Linked DNA regions of Saccharomyces cerevisiae S288C. The gene in region 2 interacts genetically with the main gene of each other region. Each region holds a gene or a part of one and is shown on either strand. Other genes may lie near its edges. The genes, in order: SMI1, NBP2, BNI1 and BUD14.

What was found.
Region 1: mutations in NBP2 (region 2) and SMI1 are lethal when combined (synthetic lethality), as found in Saccharomyces cerevisiae (6 studies listed by BioGRID, with this or other methods).
Region 3: mutations in NBP2 (region 2) and BNI1 impair growth when combined (synthetic growth defect), as found in Saccharomyces cerevisiae (5 studies listed by BioGRID, with this or other methods).
Region 4: mutations in NBP2 (region 2) and BUD14 together harm fitness more than expected from each alone (negative genetic interaction), as found in Saccharomyces cerevisiae (5 studies listed by BioGRID, with this or other methods).

The regions. Positions count from the first base shown.
Region 1 is NC_001139.9:948,858-952,794, reverse strand, and holds SMI1 (Smi1p), read left to right. Parts: upstream 1-1,895; coding exon 1,896-3,413; downstream 3,414-3,937. Other genes in the region: prohibitin subunit PHB2, read left to right, coding at 1-247; BNS1 (Bns1p), read right to left, coding at 488-901; OTO1 (Oto1p), read left to right, coding at 3,570-3,743; DIE2 (dolichyl-P-Glc:Glc(2)Man(9)GlcNAc(2)-PP-dolichol alpha-1,2- glucosyltransferase), read right to left, coding at 3,798-3,937. UniProt on the Saccharomyces cerevisiae protein: Protein involved in the regulation of cell wall assembly and 1,3-beta-glucan synthesis, possibly through the transcriptional regulation of cell wall glucan and chitin synthesis.
Region 2 is NC_001136.10:779,833-782,696, forward strand, and holds NBP2 (adaptor protein NBP2), read right to left. Parts: upstream 1,269-2,864; coding exon 558-1,268; downstream 1-557. Other genes in the region: ACL4 (Acl4p), read left to right, coding at 1-374; U2-type spliceosomal complex subunit CWC15, read left to right, coding at 1,591-2,118; SEC1 (Sec1p), read right to left, coding at 2,209-2,864. UniProt on the Saccharomyces cerevisiae protein: Negatively regulates the high-osmolarity glycerol (HOG) pathway through its negative regulation of the HOG1 kinase activity. Mediates the binding between the PTC1 phosphatase and the PBS2 MAP/ERK kinase (MEK).
Region 3 is NC_001146.8:129,327-137,251, reverse strand, and holds BNI1 (formin BNI1), read left to right. Parts: upstream 1-1,868; coding exon 1,869-7,730; downstream 7,731-7,925. Other genes in the region: arginine permease ALP1, read left to right, coding at 1-1,312. UniProt on the Saccharomyces cerevisiae protein: Required for the assembly of F-actin structures, such as actin cables and stress fibers. Nucleates actin filaments. Binds to the barbed end of the actin filament and acts as a leaky capper, slowing both polymerization and depolymerization.
Region 4 is NC_001133.9:166,220-170,461, reverse strand, and holds BUD14 (protein phosphatase regulator BUD14), read left to right. Parts: upstream 1-1,590; coding exon 1,591-3,720; downstream 3,721-4,242. Other genes in the region: serine/threonine protein kinase KIN3, read left to right, coding at 1-66; ADE1 (phosphoribosylaminoimidazolesuccinocarboxamide synthase), read right to left, coding at 167-1,087. UniProt on the Saccharomyces cerevisiae protein: Important for bud site selection. Seems to be a regulatory subunit of the BUD14-GLC7 type-I phosphatase complex. The BUD14-GLC7 complex is necessary to regulate microtubule dynamics at the cortex and may function as a specific activator of the dynein complex.

The DNA.
Region 1 (3,937 bases), on a different chromosome or scaffold from region 2:
TGTAGTTGATAAAGCCAGACAAGAAAAACAAGGTATGGTAGTGAGGGCACAAGGTGAAGCCAAATCCGCCGAACTGATTGGTGAAGCCATCAAGAAATCAAGAGACTACGTGGAATTGAAAAGATTAGATACAGCCAGGGACATTGCAAAGATCTTGGCTAGCTCTCCAAATAGAGTCATCTTGGATAATGAAGCATTGTTGCTAAATACCGTAGTGGATGCAAGAATCGATGGAAGGGGCAAATAAATAGCGAAGGCTAGATATTATCTTTAAGAATTGAGTAACAATGTTAAGATGCCATATACTTGTGAATACAAAATAAAGGGAAAGAAAGCGATGCGTAAAACATAAATATTTGTATGTCTTCTAGAATAAGAATAAGGAGTATTACCCCGTATCATCTTGTATTGTTGGAGAACGTATATAGTATAATATGTAACACATACAGCAAAAAAATAGGCCAATTTATGATCATCATCCGTTAAATTAAATGTCTACATTCGGCTTGCGTGGTATATTCTGTTTGCCCCGCACAAACTCCAGTGTTTTGGGTTGCGATTTGGCTGAGAAAAGTTTTGACTTGTGATCATTCAGTTTTCTAGAGCATGGTGAAAGCAAATTGTCTGACGGCGACGCAAATTTTTGCCTAAGTTGCGTGTTCAAGTTTTTCCTTTGATCTTCCACTGCTTTTCTTTTCCGATACGTATTCTTGAATACTTGTCGATGAAGGCAATGCTTTGCAAATGTCTTCGTGTTATGCGCAACTTTAAGACTCATTTTCAAGTGTTGATTAAAAGAATCTAGATTTTCATCCCTCCTGGTGCAAGACACAGACGTATTTTGGATTTTTCTAATCAATTTTGTCACTATATCTTGGGATGCCGATCCGCCGTATGACATCGCAAATCTGTTACTTTTTTTTAGCGCAATGATGTAGTAGCCTCTGATTAACTTTTTTTAAAAAAAAATCACAGATAAGTAGAGGAAGAAGAATTTGCTGCTTATTGGGAACTTTCAATAGAAACCTTTTGTAGAGGATTTCGTTATTTGTTCAAGAGAATAAAAAGGTATACATTTGAAATCCTAGCATTAACTTCAGATACCTTCCACCTTACTAATCGCAGGCCTTTATGACAACGGAGGAGAGTTAGAACGAAGCAGAGAGGCTCCAATCTACATGGGAACATCGCAAAAGATGCGTACTCCGCACTGATCCATTTACCTGCAGGGCTTAACATGCATTGCACCACCGTTTGTACATCATAAGTTAATTACATTCCTTTTTAGGATAGTCTACTATTTATTTTTTCCCGTATCTGGAAAACCCCCTTAGATCCTTGTCACATAATCATAAAAATAAAGGCACCAAGCCCTAAAGCACGTGACATATGTCATTACCCTAGATTACATATAGGGCTTCCAAAGCCCTATTGGAGGTCGAAAAAAAGAAAAAAGAAAATAAAAAAGCGAAAAAAAGAAATGCATAATTCGCAGATTGTTTTTTTTTTCTTTTTCTAATGTCAGTTTTCCTACTTCGAGATCAAAAGAATGTTTTTGCACCGCAACTGAAAAGGTTGTGTTTTCTTTCCAGAGTAAATTACATTTTAATCAATTCTTTGCGCTGCTACGCAATCTTCAAACGCAAGTCCATTCTTAGAAATTTTAGCTTCTCTCAATATTGAAATATTTGCAAATACGCCATTCAAGAATCAAGCCTGTTGAAAATAAAGGTACAAAATTAAATCCGCTAATTATTTTTTTTCGTGTTCGACTAAAGTTATCGAAAAATTGAAAATATACAAGGACTAGCTATACTATCAATACGCAAAGAAAATACAAAATAAACGCACATTCGTTCTATAGGCGACAACTTGGCAGAATTTTTTAGTATAAAATGGATCTATTCAAAAGAAAAGTTAAAGAATGGGTATACTCCCTCAGCACTGACGACCATTATGCAGAGTATAACCCCGATGAAACGCCTACTTTTAACATGGGTAAACGTTTAAACAGCAACAATGGTCAGGTAAATCCCTCTCAAATGCATTTGAATAGTGTAGATGAGGAAATGAGCATGGGATTTCAAAATGGCGTGCCATCTAATGAAGACATAAATATTGATGAATTTACGTCCACGGAGTCAAACGATGGTGTCTCTGAAACCCTCTTAGCTTGGAGACACATCGATTTTTGGACCAGTGAACATAATCCAGATTTAAATGCAACTTTGAGTGATCCTTGCACCCAAAACGATATCACTCACGCAGAGGAAGACTTGGAAGTTAGCTTTCCCAACCCAGTAAAAGCGTCTTTCAAAATTCATGATGGCCAAGAAGATTTAGAATCGATGACCGGTACTTCTGGCTTGTTTTATGGCTTCCAACTAATGACACTAGATCAGGTTGTAGCTATGACTCAGGCCTGGAGAAACGTCGCAAAGAACCTAAACAAAAGATCTCAACAAGGTTTATCCCATGTTACATCTACTGGCTCTTCTTCATCTATGGAAAGACTAAATGGTAACAAGTTCAAACTGCCAAATATCCCAGATCAAAAATCTATTCCTCCAAATGCAGTGCAACCGGTATATGCACATCCTGCTTGGATTCCTTTAATAACGGACAATGCCGGTAACCATATCGGTGTTGACTTGGCGCCTGGTCCAAATGGTAAATATGCTCAAATTATAACATTTGGGAGGGACTTCGATACGAAATTTGTCATTGCTGAAAATTGGGGTGAATTTCTGTTATCGTTTGCCAACGATTTGGAAGCTGGTAATTGGTATTTAGTAGATGACAATGACGACTACTTTAGCGGTGATGGTGAATTGGTCTTCAGGGATAAGAAATCTAATGGTCCTATACAAGATTATTTCGAAGTTTTAAAAAGAAGAACGTGGATCAAGTATCAAGAAAACTTGAGATCACAACAGCAAAAATCTCAACCTGACACATCCTTGCAGGAGCAGAAATACGTGCCTGCCTCGCAAAAGAAAGTGGCAGCTGAACAGCCTTCTACCCTCAACGCAGAATCCATAAAGGGCGAAGATAGTGGTAGTGCAGATGTACAATCTGTTCAAGATCACGAATCTGTCAAAATTGTGAAAACAGAACCTAGCGAAGCGGAGACTACAACTGTAAATACAGAAAGCCTTGGACAAGCAGAGCATGAAATCAAAGCTGATAATGTAGACATTAAACAAGAAAGCGAGAGGAAAGAAGACGAAAAGCAACCAAAGGTTGAAGAAAAAGAACACGTTGAAAACGAACATGTCACAGAATCAGCAAAAAAAGACGATGATGTAAATAAGCAAACAGAAGAAATGAACAAAAAGGAAGAAAATGAAATAAGAAGTGATGATGCTAAAGTGGAAGAAGCGAGAGAAGAATTTGAAAATATAGCTTTATGAAATATCACAATTAACATTCTACAACCAAAAAGAAATTTGGACAATATTTATTTCTATTAAACTGTTCTAGGTAGGTTTCAACCTTAAGAAATTTATACAATATTATCATATATATATATATATATATATAGCACAATTCCCTTACGTTTACCAACCATGAACGTTCGTGGAAATCAATGCATTATGTCTATAAGAGTATTCCTAAAAGCAGGAGAAAGTTCGCTATCATTTGCCATTAAGTGGCTCAAACGGTTTGAGGCCACTACGAAGAAAAATCAATATATACAAAACGGTTGGCCACTAAAAGATGGAAATAAAAAAAGAAAATAAATACTACTAGTAAACATTTATAGAACGTCTTTTTGCAACTATAATCAATTCTGTTCACCATATTATTCTTTGCAAATAGGGCTCAGTGGTCCAAGGAAATGAGACCTTGGAAAAGATAACTAAAGTAACGACATTGAAGAGCATGAACCATAAAAATTCCATGAACAGTCTTTTCGTACTGCTTATGGTAATTG
Region 2 (2,864 bases):
AGGGTTTTACTTATTATTTAATGAGTAAATTAGAAATTTTCAAGTTGAACAATCCCGAAGTAAGCCTGCGTCCGGAAAATATATACGAGTTTAACCAACTCATTCAAGAAGTTCCTTTGGATTTATCCCACGAACCAATCTCCCAGTTAATCTATGACTCAAGATTAGCGCTAAGTTTTGCATTGCAAGCAGGTGTCAATGCTGACAGCAAAGATGAAATTGTGCAAGAATTATTGGGCGGTGCTAATGCTTTACTCCAAGAAATTGGTGGTCCTCTAGATCCAAGTGAGTTAACACAAATCAAGAAGGGTGATTTAGTGAATGAGAATGAAGACTTGGAAGAGTTGGACATAGAGGAAGAATATTCTGACTAATAGTCTTCTAATTTAACATATGCATAAGTACATACACTGATATATATGTATATATCCGTAAGAAACGGAAATTATGACATAGAACAGATGGAAGAAGATTCGGCCAGGCATACCGCCAGGGTGGTGACCTCTTTATCTGTTTTTAGTGAGTATTTTACTGTCATAACCAATTGGAATTTGTATTCAATCCGATATATCTAATTTTGTTTTCATATCTGCTTCGACCTCCGCAACATCATCAATATCTTCCCATTCATCGTTGTCGTCGTATTCATCTTCGTTAGTGTTATCAATATTGTTTTTAGGACTAACGCTCTGTGTAATCAAATGTGTCAAATAGAAAGGTCGAGCCTTATTCTCCACCTCGTTCTCACCATCTTCCGGCTGTATATAAGAGACAAACTCCTCCGGTACCAACCCTGTTTTTGATCCTGACTCATTTTCTGCTACTAGCCAACCTTGCCCATGCTTGTAACTGATAAATACGATGTCACCCTCAGCCAATCTCAATTCATTATCATTTTCGGGTTCGAAATCGTAGAGGGCAACAGCACGTTGGTTAACTATGTAGTCGTCTGGTAGTGTTATACTTTGTCTTTTATTGTATGTGTCTTCTCCATTTGAAGAATCTGAAACCATTTCATCCTCCTCATTGTCTCCATCAAAATAACCATAATGGAGAGGATTCGAATCTGCGTACGCATAATCTTTGATTGATATATAACCTATTGTGGTTGTTTCTGTATCTTCCATTGTGTCACTATTTCCTGCCTGCACTGCCTCCACCTCTCTCCCGTTCTGTAATACTGCCTCATTGAGAACACCTATAGTTTTTTTGAGACCAGATTTCAAAATATTGGTATCTTTTTGTGTGGTCGTTTCCATCGTTGCCATCGTAGATTCAATAAATATGTCAGTGGAAGTTAAAGTAAGGTAAAGTTGAGAAAAATACTTAAAATTTGTTAGTATCTATCACGTTTTATTGGTAGCTGTTATTATGTGTGATTGAGCGTGTTGTTACTGTGCACTGTGTTGCATTGTCCATTACAAGCTACTTCTGAAGTGAATTCTCCATTTCTCGCAACTGGAAAAATAAGTTGGTGTGACTAAAAATAATAGTCTATCTCTTCACGAAAAGGAAATAGGAATGACAAAGCTCCAAAAGGCTCCATAAAGAACTTGCTCAGAGGCTGGCATTTGAAAGGGCTACAAGACCATGACCACATCACACAGACCACAGTTAGAAGCAAGAAGCGGTGCAAAAGCGGCCGCTTATACACCAACAGGCATCGAGCATGCCAGATTACTACCAGGACATACAACATTAAAATACAGGAAATTTAAAGAGGAGGAAAATCTTAGAGCAAACTGTGCGCAAGAAGATAGGAGCAACGATAAATCTTTAGAGGAGGCAGTAATGAACGAAGAGAAACAGGATGTTGTGGGGAGTGGGAACCTCCAAGAAACCCGCAGTGAGAAAGACCAAAAAGACTCGTTGCAAGAGCTGCTGGTTACTCAAAAAAATAAAGTGGAAGATAAAGCAGAGCTTGAAGGAAATGAACAATTAAAGGGAGGAAATTCGTCTAGGCGATCGTGGAGAAAGGGCACGGCGTTTGGACGCCATAAAGTAACCAAAGAGACAAATATTAAGGAACATGCAACAAAAAAATCAGCGTCCGGATACATTAACGATATGACAAAATCTGAATATCATCAAGAATTTCTCCATAAGCATGTTAGATAGTACATAGGAACGATACATAAATAGTACGTTTATATCTTTTTTTTTTGACAAGAGCAAGTGATTTTTTTTATCACTGTCTTCTTTAAGGGATCATTTATCATGGTGAGATTTTCTTTTCAAGAACCTCGAGAATTTGCTACGTTTCTTCTCTTTTTCGGGTGGTTCTGACTTGAGAGAACCTGCTGCTTTGGGACTAGAAGTACCAGACTTAGGACTATTGTCTTGGCTTTTTAAATGAACATGAGAGACTGGTTGTGCCACCGGTTTCATTTCCCTTAGAAGGAAATCAGGCGGGTTTACTTGCTGGCGCTGATCTTCCTTGAATTTGAAAAATTCTCTAGGATTTTGTAAACGTTCCACTTCATCTAAGAATTTTGTTGGTGTTAATATCTCGTCGCTGCCAATAAAGATATCTCTGTTCTTCAAGTTTGATTGATCATAAGCAGCTTTAATTTCGGGAATTGATATACCACCAATAACATAGTAGAAGAATCTTTGTCTAGGTATGTTTTTTTTTATATTAGAGCTTTTCGTGGTCCAAGCTGCCTTGTGACGGGGATTCCTTAAGGATGAGGAGGAGTTAGCAGAGGTATTCGCTAAGCCTGCTTGGAATTCTTCTTCATTCAATAACTCAATTGGCTTGTCCTTTAAATATGGGAAGTATTGTTCGCTCAATAACAATGGATTCGCTATAACCTTTGAAAGAATATTCCCTACAGCGGGAACGAACCTTGAAGTGTGATAGA
Region 3 (7,925 bases), on a different chromosome or scaffold from region 2:
CTTCGCCCAAAGATTTCTGTCGCCAGCGCTGGGAGCGACTAACGGATATATGTACTGGCTGTCGTGGTGTTTCACCTTCGCACTGGAACTATCCGTTTTGGGGAAAGTTATTCAGTACTGGACAGAAGCAGTGCCTCTAGCGGCTTGGATCGTGATCTTTTGGTGCCTGTTAACTTCAATGAACATGTTTCCCGTAAAGTATTACGGAGAATTTGAGTTTTGTATTGCCTCCATAAAGGTCATCGCGTTGCTCGGTTTTATCATTTTCTCATTCTGTGTTGTGTGTGGTGCGGGACAATCTGATGGACCCATCGGTTTCAGGTACTGGAGAAATCCAGGAGCCTGGGGGCCTGGCATTATCTCCAGTGATAAAAATGAGGGCCGTTTTCTCGGATGGGTTTCCTCTTTGATTAATGCTGCATTTACGTACCAAGGTACTGAACTGGTTGGGATAACCGCTGGTGAAGCGGCTAACCCAAGAAAAGCTCTCCCGAGGGCAATAAAGAAAGTTGTAGTGAGGATTCTAGTCTTTTACATTCTTTCACTATTTTTCATTGGCCTTTTGGTCCCATATAATGACCCAAAGTTGGATAGTGACGGTATATTTGTCTCTTCATCGCCCTTTATGATAAGCATTGAGAATTCAGGCACAAAAGTTCTCCCAGATATATTTAACGCGGTCGTGCTAATCACCATTCTTTCCGCAGGTAACTCTAATGTGTACATTGGCTCAAGAGTACTGTATAGTCTGTCTAAAAATAGCTTGGCGCCAAGGTTCTTGTCTAACGTGACCAGAGGTGGTGTTCCATACTTTTCTGTTCTATCTACATCCGTGTTCGGATTTTTGGCTTTCTTAGAGGTTTCTGCAGGCAGCGGCAAGGCCTTTAACTGGTTATTGAACATAACTGGTGTGGCCGGTTTCTTTGCCTGGCTTTTGATTTCATTTTCTCATATCCGTTTCATGCAAGCCATAAGGAAACGTGGTATATCGAGGGATGACTTACCTTATAAAGCTCAAATGATGCCTTTTTTGGCATATTATGCATCTTTTTTCATCGCTCTAATTGTTCTGATCCAGGGCTTCACCGCTTTCGCACCTACTTTTCAGCCTATAGACTTTGTCGCTGCATATATATCAATATTCCTATTTTTGGCCATATGGTTATCATTCCAAGTTTGGTTTAAGTGCCGCTTACTCTGGAAGCTGCAGGATATCGATATCGATTCTGACCGCCGGCAAATAGAGGAGTTGGTATGGATAGAGCCAGAATGTAAAACAAGGTGGCAACGAGTTTGGGATGTCCTTTCATAATTTTAGAATAATACTCCATACCACACACACACATATATATGTATGTATGTATGTATGTATGTATATGTATATTTGCCAAATCCTTGCTCAACTCTTTTCCTGTGATTATATGATTACTCCCTAGTTGTTTCGTTGTTAGCCGCCGAAAGTCATCGCCCGTAATTTCCATGGCTTACCCGACATCGGTTAGAGGAAGTTTTTGACGTGGAAGAGGGAAAGAAAGAAAAAACAGATGTGGAAAACTAGAATCCCTTTTAAGAACAATAGCACGGACCCTTCCTACAGATAAGAGGACACTGACGGCTGTGTGTTAATTATTTTCGTATTAAGCATAAAATTGGACAGTGGCATTCTTTTCTTCACCCTTCACGTTTTTTATACGTCTCATACAGTTGGGCCATTTTTTACTTTTTTTTTTGCCATTTGTATCTATCTTCTGTATTGAGGAGAAACATTTTAACTCAAGCCTAGTTAAATTCTAAATACACGCCACATAAAGAAGGCACCTGAACCTTTTCAACAAACGAGAAGCAAGAAAGGAAGAGAAGGAAAGGAAATGTTGAAGAATTCAGGCTCCAAACATTCGAACTCAAAGGAAAGTCATTCGAATTCGAGTTCTGGTATATTCCAAAATTTGAAGCGTTTGGCTAACTCAAATGCAACGAATAGCAATACGGGTTCTCCGACCTATGCATCCCAACAACAGCACTCTCCAGTGGGAAACGAAGTGTCCACTTCACCTGCATCTTCGTCATCTTTTAGAAAACTGAATGCACCTTCTAGGTCTACATCTACTGAGGCGAGGCCGTTGAATAAAAAATCGACATTAAACACACAAAACTTGTCTCAATATATGAATGGTAAATTAAGTGGAGATGTTCCCGTATCCTCACAGCACGCAAGGTCGCATTCAATGCAATCGAAATATTCGTATTCCAAGAGGAATTCTTCACAGGCGTCCAATAAGCTAACAAGGCAGCATACCGGGCAAAGTCACTCCGCATCAAGTCTTCTCTCTCAAGGTTCGCTAACTAACTTGAGCAAATTCACTACACCCGATGGTAAAATTTATTTAGAAATGCCGTCGGACCCATACGAGGTGGAAGTTTTGTTTGAAGATATTATGTATAAAAGAAATATTTTTCAGTCTTTATCAGAGGACAAACAAGAAGCTCTGATGGGCTACAGCATTGAGAAGAAATGGCTGATTGTTAAGCAGGATTTACAAAATGAGCTAAAAAAAATGCGAGCAAACACTACATCTTCTTCCACTGCCTCCAGAACTTCGATGGCGTCGGACCATCATCCTATCCTTACGGCTAATTCATCTCTTTCGTCTCCCAAATCTGTTTTGATGACAAGCGCCTCTTCTCCCACCTCAACTGTATACAGCAACAGTTTAAATCATTCTACTACTCTTTCATCGGTAGGTACGTCAACCTCGAAGGGGAAAAAATTAGTGAGCGGGAGTTTGAAAAAGCAGCCATCTCTAAACAATATTTATAGAGGTGGGGCTGAGAACAATACGAGTGCATCTACTCTTCCAGGAGACAGAACAAACAGACCACCGATACATTATGTGCAACGAATCCTGGCAGACAAACTTACTAGCGATGAGATGAAAGATTTATGGGTAACTTTAAGAACTGAACAGTTAGACTGGGTAGACGCTTTTATAGACCATCAGGGTCACATTGCTATGGCTAATGTACTAATGAACTCTATTTATAAGACTGCACCCCGAGAAAACTTGACTAAAGAATTATTAGAGAAAGAAAATTCATTTTTTAAATGCTTCAGAGTCTTATCAATGCTCTCACAAGGTTTGTATGAGTTCAGTACACATAGGTTAATGACTGATACTGTTGCAGAAGGTTTATTCTCTACGAAACTGGCCACAAGGAAAATGGCCACTGAAATTTTTGTTTGTATGCTAGAAAAAAAAAATAAAAGCAGATTCGAAGCAGTTCTTACCTCACTAGATAAAAAGTTTAGGATAGGGCAAAATCTTCATATGATTCAAAACTTCAAAAAAATGCCCCAGTATTTCTCTCATTTAACCTTGGAAAGTCATTTGAAAATTATTCAAGCCTGGTTATTTGCCGTTGAACAAACTTTAGATGGAAGAGGAAAAATGGGTTCCTTAGTAGGCGCGTCGGATGAATTTAAAAATGGTGGGGGTGAAAATGCGATTCTAGAATACTGCCAATGGACAATGGTTTTTATCAATCATTTATGCTCTTGCTCTGATAACATAAATCAAAGAATGCTATTAAGGACGAAACTAGAAAATTGTGGAATTTTACGAATTATGAACAAAATAAAACTGCTAGATTACGACAAGGTAATTGACCAAATTGAGTTATATGACAATAATAAACTTGACGATTTTAACGTTAAATTAGAGGCCAACAATAAGGCTTTTAATGTAGATTTACACGATCCACTATCATTATTAAAAAACCTTTGGGATATATGTAAAGGTACCGAGAATGAAAAGCTTTTAGTATCTTTAGTTCAACATCTTTTCCTTTCTAGTTCAAAGTTAATAGAAGAAAACCAAAATTCCTCTAAACTTACTAAGCAATTGAAACTTATGGATTCTTTGGTGACTAATGTTAGTGTTGCCTCAACTTCTGATGAAGAAACTAATATGAATATGGCTATCCAGCGGCTTTACGATGCCATGCAGACTGATGAAGTTGCACGTCGAGCTATATTAGAAAGTAGAGCTCTAACGAAGAAATTGGAAGAAATTCAGGCAGAAAGGGATTCTTTAAGTGAAAAGTTAAGCAAGGCGGAGCACGGACTCGTTGGACAGTTAGAAGATGAGTTGCATGAGAGAGATCGTATTTTAGCTAAGAATCAGAGAGTTATGCAGCAGCTGGAAGCTGAGTTAGAAGAGTTGAAAAAGAAGCATCTTTTGGAAAAGCATCAGCAAGAGGTAGAATTGAGAAAAATGTTGACTATATTGAATTCGAGGCCTGAAGAAAGCTTCAATAAGAATGAAGGCACCAGAGGTATGAACTCGAGCCTAAATTCTTCAGAGAAAGCGAATATCCAAAAGGTGTTACAGGACGGATTATCAAGAGCAAAAAAGGATTACAAGGATGATTCAAAAAAATTCGGCATGACACTTCAACCTAATAAGAGATTAAAAATGTTAAGAATGCAAATGGAAAATATTGAAAATGAAGCCAGGCAACTAGAGATGACAAATTTTGCTGAATTTGAGAAAGATCGTCTTGAACCTCCAATACATATTAAGAAGCCCAAAGTGAAGAAGATGAAAAATAAGGATAGGAAACCTTTAGTCAAGCCTCAAGAGGCGGACGTAAATAAACTAAATGACCTAAGGCGGGCTTTGGCTGAAATCCAAATGGAAAGTAATGATATTTCCAAATTTAACGTCGAAGAACGTGTTAATGAGCTATTTAATGAAAAGAAATCTCTGGCTTTAAAGAGACTGAAAGAACTAGAAACAAAATACAAAGGATTTGGTATTGACTTTAATGTCGACGAGATTATGGACAGTCCAAAGAAAAATACTGGGGACGTGGAAACGGAAGAAGACGCTAACTATGCCAGTCTTGACCCTAAGACATATCAGAAAAAGTTAGACGAGATTAATAGAATAACGGACCAGTTGTTAGATATTCAGACTCAAACCGAACACGAAATACAAGTAGAAGAAGATGGGGAAAGCGATCTTTCCTCTTCAAGTTCTGATGATGAAAGTGAGGAAATATACCAAGACGCATCTCCAACTCAAGAACTAAGGAGCGAACACTCAGAGCTATCTTCAGGATCAGGTCCTGGGTCTTTTCTCGATGCCTTATCTCAAAAATATGGTACTGGTCAAAATGTTACTGCATCGGCTGCTTTTGGAGAGAACAATAACGGTTCGGGTATTGGACCTCTACATAGTAAAGTTGAAAAGACCTTTATGAACAGACTCAGAAAATCCACCGTGTCTTCTGCTCCATATTTAGAGGAGTTAACACAGAAGGTAAATAAAGTTGAACCATATGAACAAAATGAAGATGAAGGTCTAGATAAAAAATCTTTACCGGAAAACAGCACGGCAAGTGCAGCTTCCGCCTTTGACAAAGCTGAGAAAGACATGAGACAACATGTGGAAAACGGAAAGCAAGGGCGTGTGGTAAATCATGAAGAAGATAAAACAGCGGATTTCAGCGCTGTGAGTAAACTGAATAATACAGATGGCGCAGAAGATCTCTCTACTCAATCATCTGTACTCTCCTCACAGCCGCCACCGCCTCCTCCTCCTCCTCCTCCAGTTCCCGCCAAATTGTTCGGTGAATCGTTGGAGAAAGAGAAAAAGTCGGAAGACGACACTGTCAAGCAAGAAACTACTGGGGATTCTCCTGCTCCTCCCCCTCCACCACCACCACCTCCTCCTCCACCCATGGCATTGTTCGGCAAACCCAAGGGAGAAACACCACCACCGCCGCCGCTACCATCTGTATTATCTTCATCTACTGATGGCGTCATTCCGCCAGCTCCACCTATGATGCCGGCATCGCAAATCAAATCAGCTGTAACATCACCATTACTTCCTCAATCGCCCTCATTATTTGAAAAGTATCCTCGTCCACACAAGAAATTAAAGCAACTGCATTGGGAAAAATTAGATTGTACTGATAATTCTATTTGGGGTACAGGTAAAGCTGAGAAGTTCGCAGATGACTTATACGAAAAGGGTGTTCTTGCTGATTTAGAAAAGGCCTTTGCCGCTAGGGAAATTAAATCATTAGCAAGCAAGCGCAAGGAAGATCTGCAGAAAATTACATTTTTATCCAGGGATATTTCTCAACAGTTTGGTATCAATTTGCATATGTATTCATCACTTTCGGTTGCCGATCTGGTGAAAAAGATTCTAAACTGCGATAGGGATTTTTTGCAAACACCGAGTGTTGTTGAGTTTTTGTCAAAATCTGAAATAATTGAAGTTTCTGTTAATTTAGCTAGGAATTACGCCCCGTATTCGACAGACTGGGAGGGCGTGAGGAATCTCGAAGATGCCAAGCCCCCTGAAAAAGATCCAAACGATTTACAGAGGGCTGACCAAATTTATTTGCAATTGATGGTTAATCTAGAATCATACTGGGGTTCACGTATGAGAGCTCTCACAGTGGTTACTTCGTATGAAAGAGAATATAATGAGTTATTGGCAAAGTTAAGAAAAGTCGACAAAGCTGTTAGCGCGCTTCAAGAATCAGATAACTTGCGCAATGTCTTTAATGTTATCTTAGCAGTTGGTAATTTCATGAACGACACTTCTAAGCAGGCACAAGGTTTCAAACTTTCAACCTTGCAGAGGTTGACGTTTATCAAGGATACTACCAATAGCATGACCTTTCTAAATTACGTCGAAAAAATTGTCAGGTTAAATTATCCAAGCTTCAATGACTTTCTAAGTGAATTAGAACCTGTATTGGATGTCGTGAAAGTTTCCATTGAGCAGTTAGTTAACGACTGTAAGGACTTTAGCCAATCGATTGTAAACGTAGAGCGTTCAGTTGAAATTGGTAATTTAAGCGATTCCTCAAAGTTTCATCCATTAGATAAAGTTTTGATAAAAACATTGCCCGTGTTACCGGAAGCCAGAAAAAAGGGGGACTTGTTAGAAGACGAAGTTAAGCTGACTATCATGGAATTTGAAAGTCTGATGCATACGTACGGTGAAGATTCTGGTGATAAGTTTGCAAAAATCTCATTCTTTAAGAAATTTGCAGATTTTATAAATGAATACAAAAAAGCTCAAGCGCAAAATCTAGCCGCGGAAGAAGAAGAAAGACTTTATATAAAGCATAAGAAAATAGTGGAAGAACAGCAAAAAAGGGCACAAGAAAAGGAAAAACAAAAAGAGAACAGCAATTCGCCTTCATCTGAAGGAAATGAAGAGGATGAAGCAGAAGATAGGCGCGCTGTTATGGATAAACTATTAGAACAGTTGAAAAATGCAGGTCCTGCTAAAAGTGACCCATCTTCCGCCAGAAAGAGAGCCCTAGTGAGGAAAAAATATCTTTCTGAAAAAGACAACGCTCCACAATTACTCAACGATTTGGATACTGAAGAAGGGTCTATTCTTTATTCTCCAGAAGCTATGGACCCTACTGCCGATACAGTGATTCACGCTGAATCACCCACTCCGCTTGCCACAAGGGGTGTTATGAATACCTCTGAAGATTTACCATCGCCATCCAAGACATCTGCGCTGGAAGATCAAGAGGAAATTAGTGACAGAGCTAGAATGTTATTAAAGGAGCTAAGAGGCTCTGACACACCAGTAAAGCAAAATTCCATACTCGATGAACATCTAGAAAAATTGAGGGCCCGCAAGGAAAGATCCATAGGTGAGGCTAGCACAGGTAACAGGCTAAGTTTCAAATAAAATATTAAACCAAAAAATTATGACAACAGTAATACCAAAACAAACATCCAAACAAGCACTAGTACAAAGAAATAGTCACGAATCATTAAATCACATATATATATATAATTTTAATGTTTATAGATCACTTATGATACACTTTACATTCATCTTTACTCAAATGATCTCTACTATTGCATTTTTGAAATAATTCCT
Region 4 (4,242 bases), on a different chromosome or scaffold from region 2:
ATAAACGGATATTATGGTAAAAAATTTGCCAAACCTGCATACCACTGGCAAACAAGATATCGATAAAATTTGCTCTGAGAACATTTATACATTAATACATACGGGTATGTATGAATCATATTCAGTGAGGAGTTACACTGGCGACTTGTAGTATATGTAAATCACGTTAGTGAGACCATTTAGACCCTGTCAATGTTTCATAAGCCTCTATATATTTGGCCCTTGTCCTGTCGACAATGTCTTGGGGCATTTTGACGCCGTTAACACCGTTCAACTTATTAGCAGTAAGCCAGTCTCTTAAAAATTGCTTATCGTAAGAATCTTGGGATTCTCCTACCTTATAAGAGGCACCGTTCCAGAATCTAGAGGAGTCTGGCGTTAGCACCTCGTCCACTAGAATAATTTCATTGGTCTTTTCGTCAATACCGAATTCGAATTTAGTGTCTGCGATGATGATGCCCTTCTCCTTAGCATAATCTTTGCACTTGGAGTACAGTTTTACAGCCAGTTCTGCCACTCTACGTGACAAATCTTCACCCACCAGCTCAGCGGCCTGGGCAGGAGAGATGTTTTCGTCATGTTCACCTTGTTCAGCCTTGGTCGATGGGGTGAAGATTGGTTCTGGGAACTCTTGAGATTCTTTAAGTCCTTGAGGTTGTTTCAAACCATGCACAGTACCTGTTTTTACGTACTCTTTCCAAGCAGATCCGGTGATGTAGCCTCTGACAATTACTTCCAATGGAATTAGTTTATGTTTGTGAACCAATAGAGAGCGGTCTTCTAGTTGCGTTTTGTACTTTGGTTCGCTCAATTTTGCAGGTAGATAATCGAAAATAGTCTTACCTGGGGCGATGTCGACCAAATGATTACGAACATCGTTGGACAGGAACTTGAACCAGAACTCTGACAGTTTGGTCAATAGGATCCCCTTTTCAGGAATGCTGTTTTCCATAATAACGTCATATGCAGAGATACGATCCGTAGCAACAAACAGCAACGTACCAGCGTCTACCTCATATATGTCTCTAACTTTACCTCTGGCCACCAATGGCAATATACCGTCCAGTTCAGTCTTCGTAATTGACATTATCGTTAATATTTCGTATGTGTATTCTTTGTAAGCAATGCTTATGATTCGATTGTTCTTAATAGTACCAACTGCAAAAGATAAAACCCAACCGTCTTACCTCAAAGAATCTGGGTAAGAATATATAGAATGTATATATATATATATGTATGTCTATATGTATTAGATGGCATCTTCGAGATTAGTATTATTACATCCTCATCTCTCGCAAGAGTCAGACTGACTCGTGAATAAGCTTCGGGTGACCCTTATGGCATTCTTTTTCAACCTTCAGGAAAAGTTTCAGATGAGTTGAAATTTCGAGTATGGCTACATGGATCAAGTGCTGTAAACAAAGAAGCTTCTACAGGGGTACGCTGGTTGTGTTTTCTGCTTTGCTATCGTGTAGAACTGGATCCATTCTTTCCTGGCTGTGGTAGTACTTAAGGAGTTGGACGTGTTCAAGTCGAGAAAGAGGTGAAATACACGTAGTTTTTAGATAACATTCTCTGCTTGGTAAGAGAATGAGTAATAAGGAAGAGCATGTTGATGAGACTTCCGCAAGTGGTGTCAAGGAGGTTAGTTCTATAGCTGCTAGACATGACAATGGTTACGCGCCTTCGCTAATCACGTCGACGTCGGGCATGGACTCCTTTCAATCGCACGCGCTACTGAATGATCCAACCCTAATAGAGGATTATTCAGATATCATTAATAATAGGCCTACAAGTGGAAGTAAACTTACTTTAGGAAACGAGGATTCGGAGAGTATGGGCGGAAGTGTTGTGGTGACTCCGACTTCGAATAAGAGTTCGCCCTTCAATTCGAAACTTAATATACTGAGTAATGCGGCAGAAAAGGGCCATGATGTTCTGCGAAATAGAGATGATGACAAAGAGTTAGAGGAGGAGAACGTGGAAAAACATATGCATAGCAACAGTAAAAGGGATCAGCGACATTACAAAGAAAATTCTTCGGAATTGCCCGACTCATATGATTATTCGGATTCTGAATTTGAGGACAATTTGGAAAGAAGGCTACAAGAGATCGAAACTGATTCCGTGGATAGCGCCGATAAGGATGAGGTGCATTTTTCAGTGAATAATACAATGAACCCTGACGTTGACGATTTTAGTGATGGCTTGAAATACGCCATCTCGGAGGACGAGGATGAAGAGGAAAACTACTCTGATGACGATGACTTTGACAGAAAATTTCAAGATTCAGGGTTTCAAGGGGAGAAAGACGATTTGGAGGAGGAAAACGACGATTACCAACCCTTATCGCCGCCAAGAGAACTGGACCCTGATAAACTATATGCTTTATATGCGTTCAATGGCCATGATTCTTCACATTGTCAATTAGGGCAAGACGAACCTTGTATACTTTTGAATGACCAGGATGCCTATTGGTGGCTGGTTAAGAGGATCACTGATGGTAAAATCGGGTTTGCGCCAGCGGAAATTCTAGAAACCTTTCCAGAAAGACTAGCTCGATTGAATTGCTGGAAAAATGAAAACATGTCTTCTCAATCGGTTGCTTCCTCCGATTCGAAAGATGATTCCATCAGCTCTGGTAACAAGAATCAAAGTGATGCAGAGAGTATAATTCCGACACCTGCACTGAATGGATATGGTAAGGGGAACAAATCTGTTAGTTTCAATGATGTTGTCGGTTATGCAGACAGGTTTATAGATGATGCAATTGAAGATACCTCGTTAGATAGTAACGATGATGGCGGTGAAGGCAATGGACAGTCGTACGACGATGATGTTGATAACGACAAGGAAACAAAAGTAACGCACCGGGACGAATACACTGAAGCGAAGTTAAATTTTGGCAAATTCCAGGATGATGATACGAGCGATGTAGTGAGCGACGTCTCCTTTAGTACATCTTTGAATACACCACTAAATGTGAAAAAAGTTCGGAGACAAGACAACAAAAACGAAAGTGAGCCTAAGACATCATCGAGTAAAGACAGAGAAGATGATTATAATGCAAATCGGTATGTGGGGCAAGAAAAGTCTGAACCGGTTGACAGTGATTACGATACCGATCTGAAAAAAGTATTTGAAGCGCCTCGTATGCCATTTGCGAATGGTATGGCAAAATCAGACTCTCAAAATTCCCTTTCAACAATTGGCGAGTTTTCACCGTCGTCGTCAGAATGGACAAACGAATCACCATCCACTCCAATAGTTGAAGAAAGCAGCAGTATTCCATCATCTAGAGCAATAAAGGACATTTCACAATATATTCATGCAAAATCGAAAATTGAAGAGACAACAAACGTGGAAAACACAGAGGGGCAAATTCAAGCCAGCTTGGGGTCTAGTGGAGGAATGGCAAATCAAACTGACGCAGAACAACCTAAAGAGGAGCTAGAAAAACATCACAGTACCCCCGAAGAAGAAAAGCAATCAACCTTATCGTTACACTCATCATCTGAAGAAGATTTTTATATGGATGAACAAAGGGCGGTATCATCAGCAAGCATAAATAGTTCACTTTCCGGATCAAGGGCATTGTCTAATACCAATATGTCCGATCCGGCTTCGAAGCCCAATTCTTTGGTTCAACATCTCTATGCTCCAGTTTTTGACAGAATGGATGTGTTGATGAAACAATTGGATGAAATTATTCGTAAATGATATTGTCCTTACAATAAAGCCTGGTCTTTTTCTCATCCAACGAACTTGCATCATATTCATGAATATTTATTTGTTTTAGAAACATTTCGGAAAAAATAAGGTAGTAACAGTTCAGCATATATGATAGCTAAAACAAACAACTATATATCGTATCTACAAAGTTTATCTTACTTCTTCTATTTTTTAACTTTGCTTCAGATTATGATAATGAAAAGGAGGAATAAAATTCTGTCATTATTCAGCATCCTCCAATGTGTCATAGGGATATAACTGGGGTTGAGGAGGTAGTAGTCGACAACTACTTAGTCGTGATACAACAGTATGGATAGGTACTTTCCACGAACATTACTGATGACAGTCAGCTATTCACGAATTCAATTGTGTTGGATTAACAAAAAAATTTGGACGCAACCGGAATCGAACCGATGACCTCTTCCTTGCAAGGGAAGCGCGCTACCAACTGCGCCATGTGCCCAACTCATTACAATACTAGACTTATGAAGGAATGGTAAGTGCTTAGAA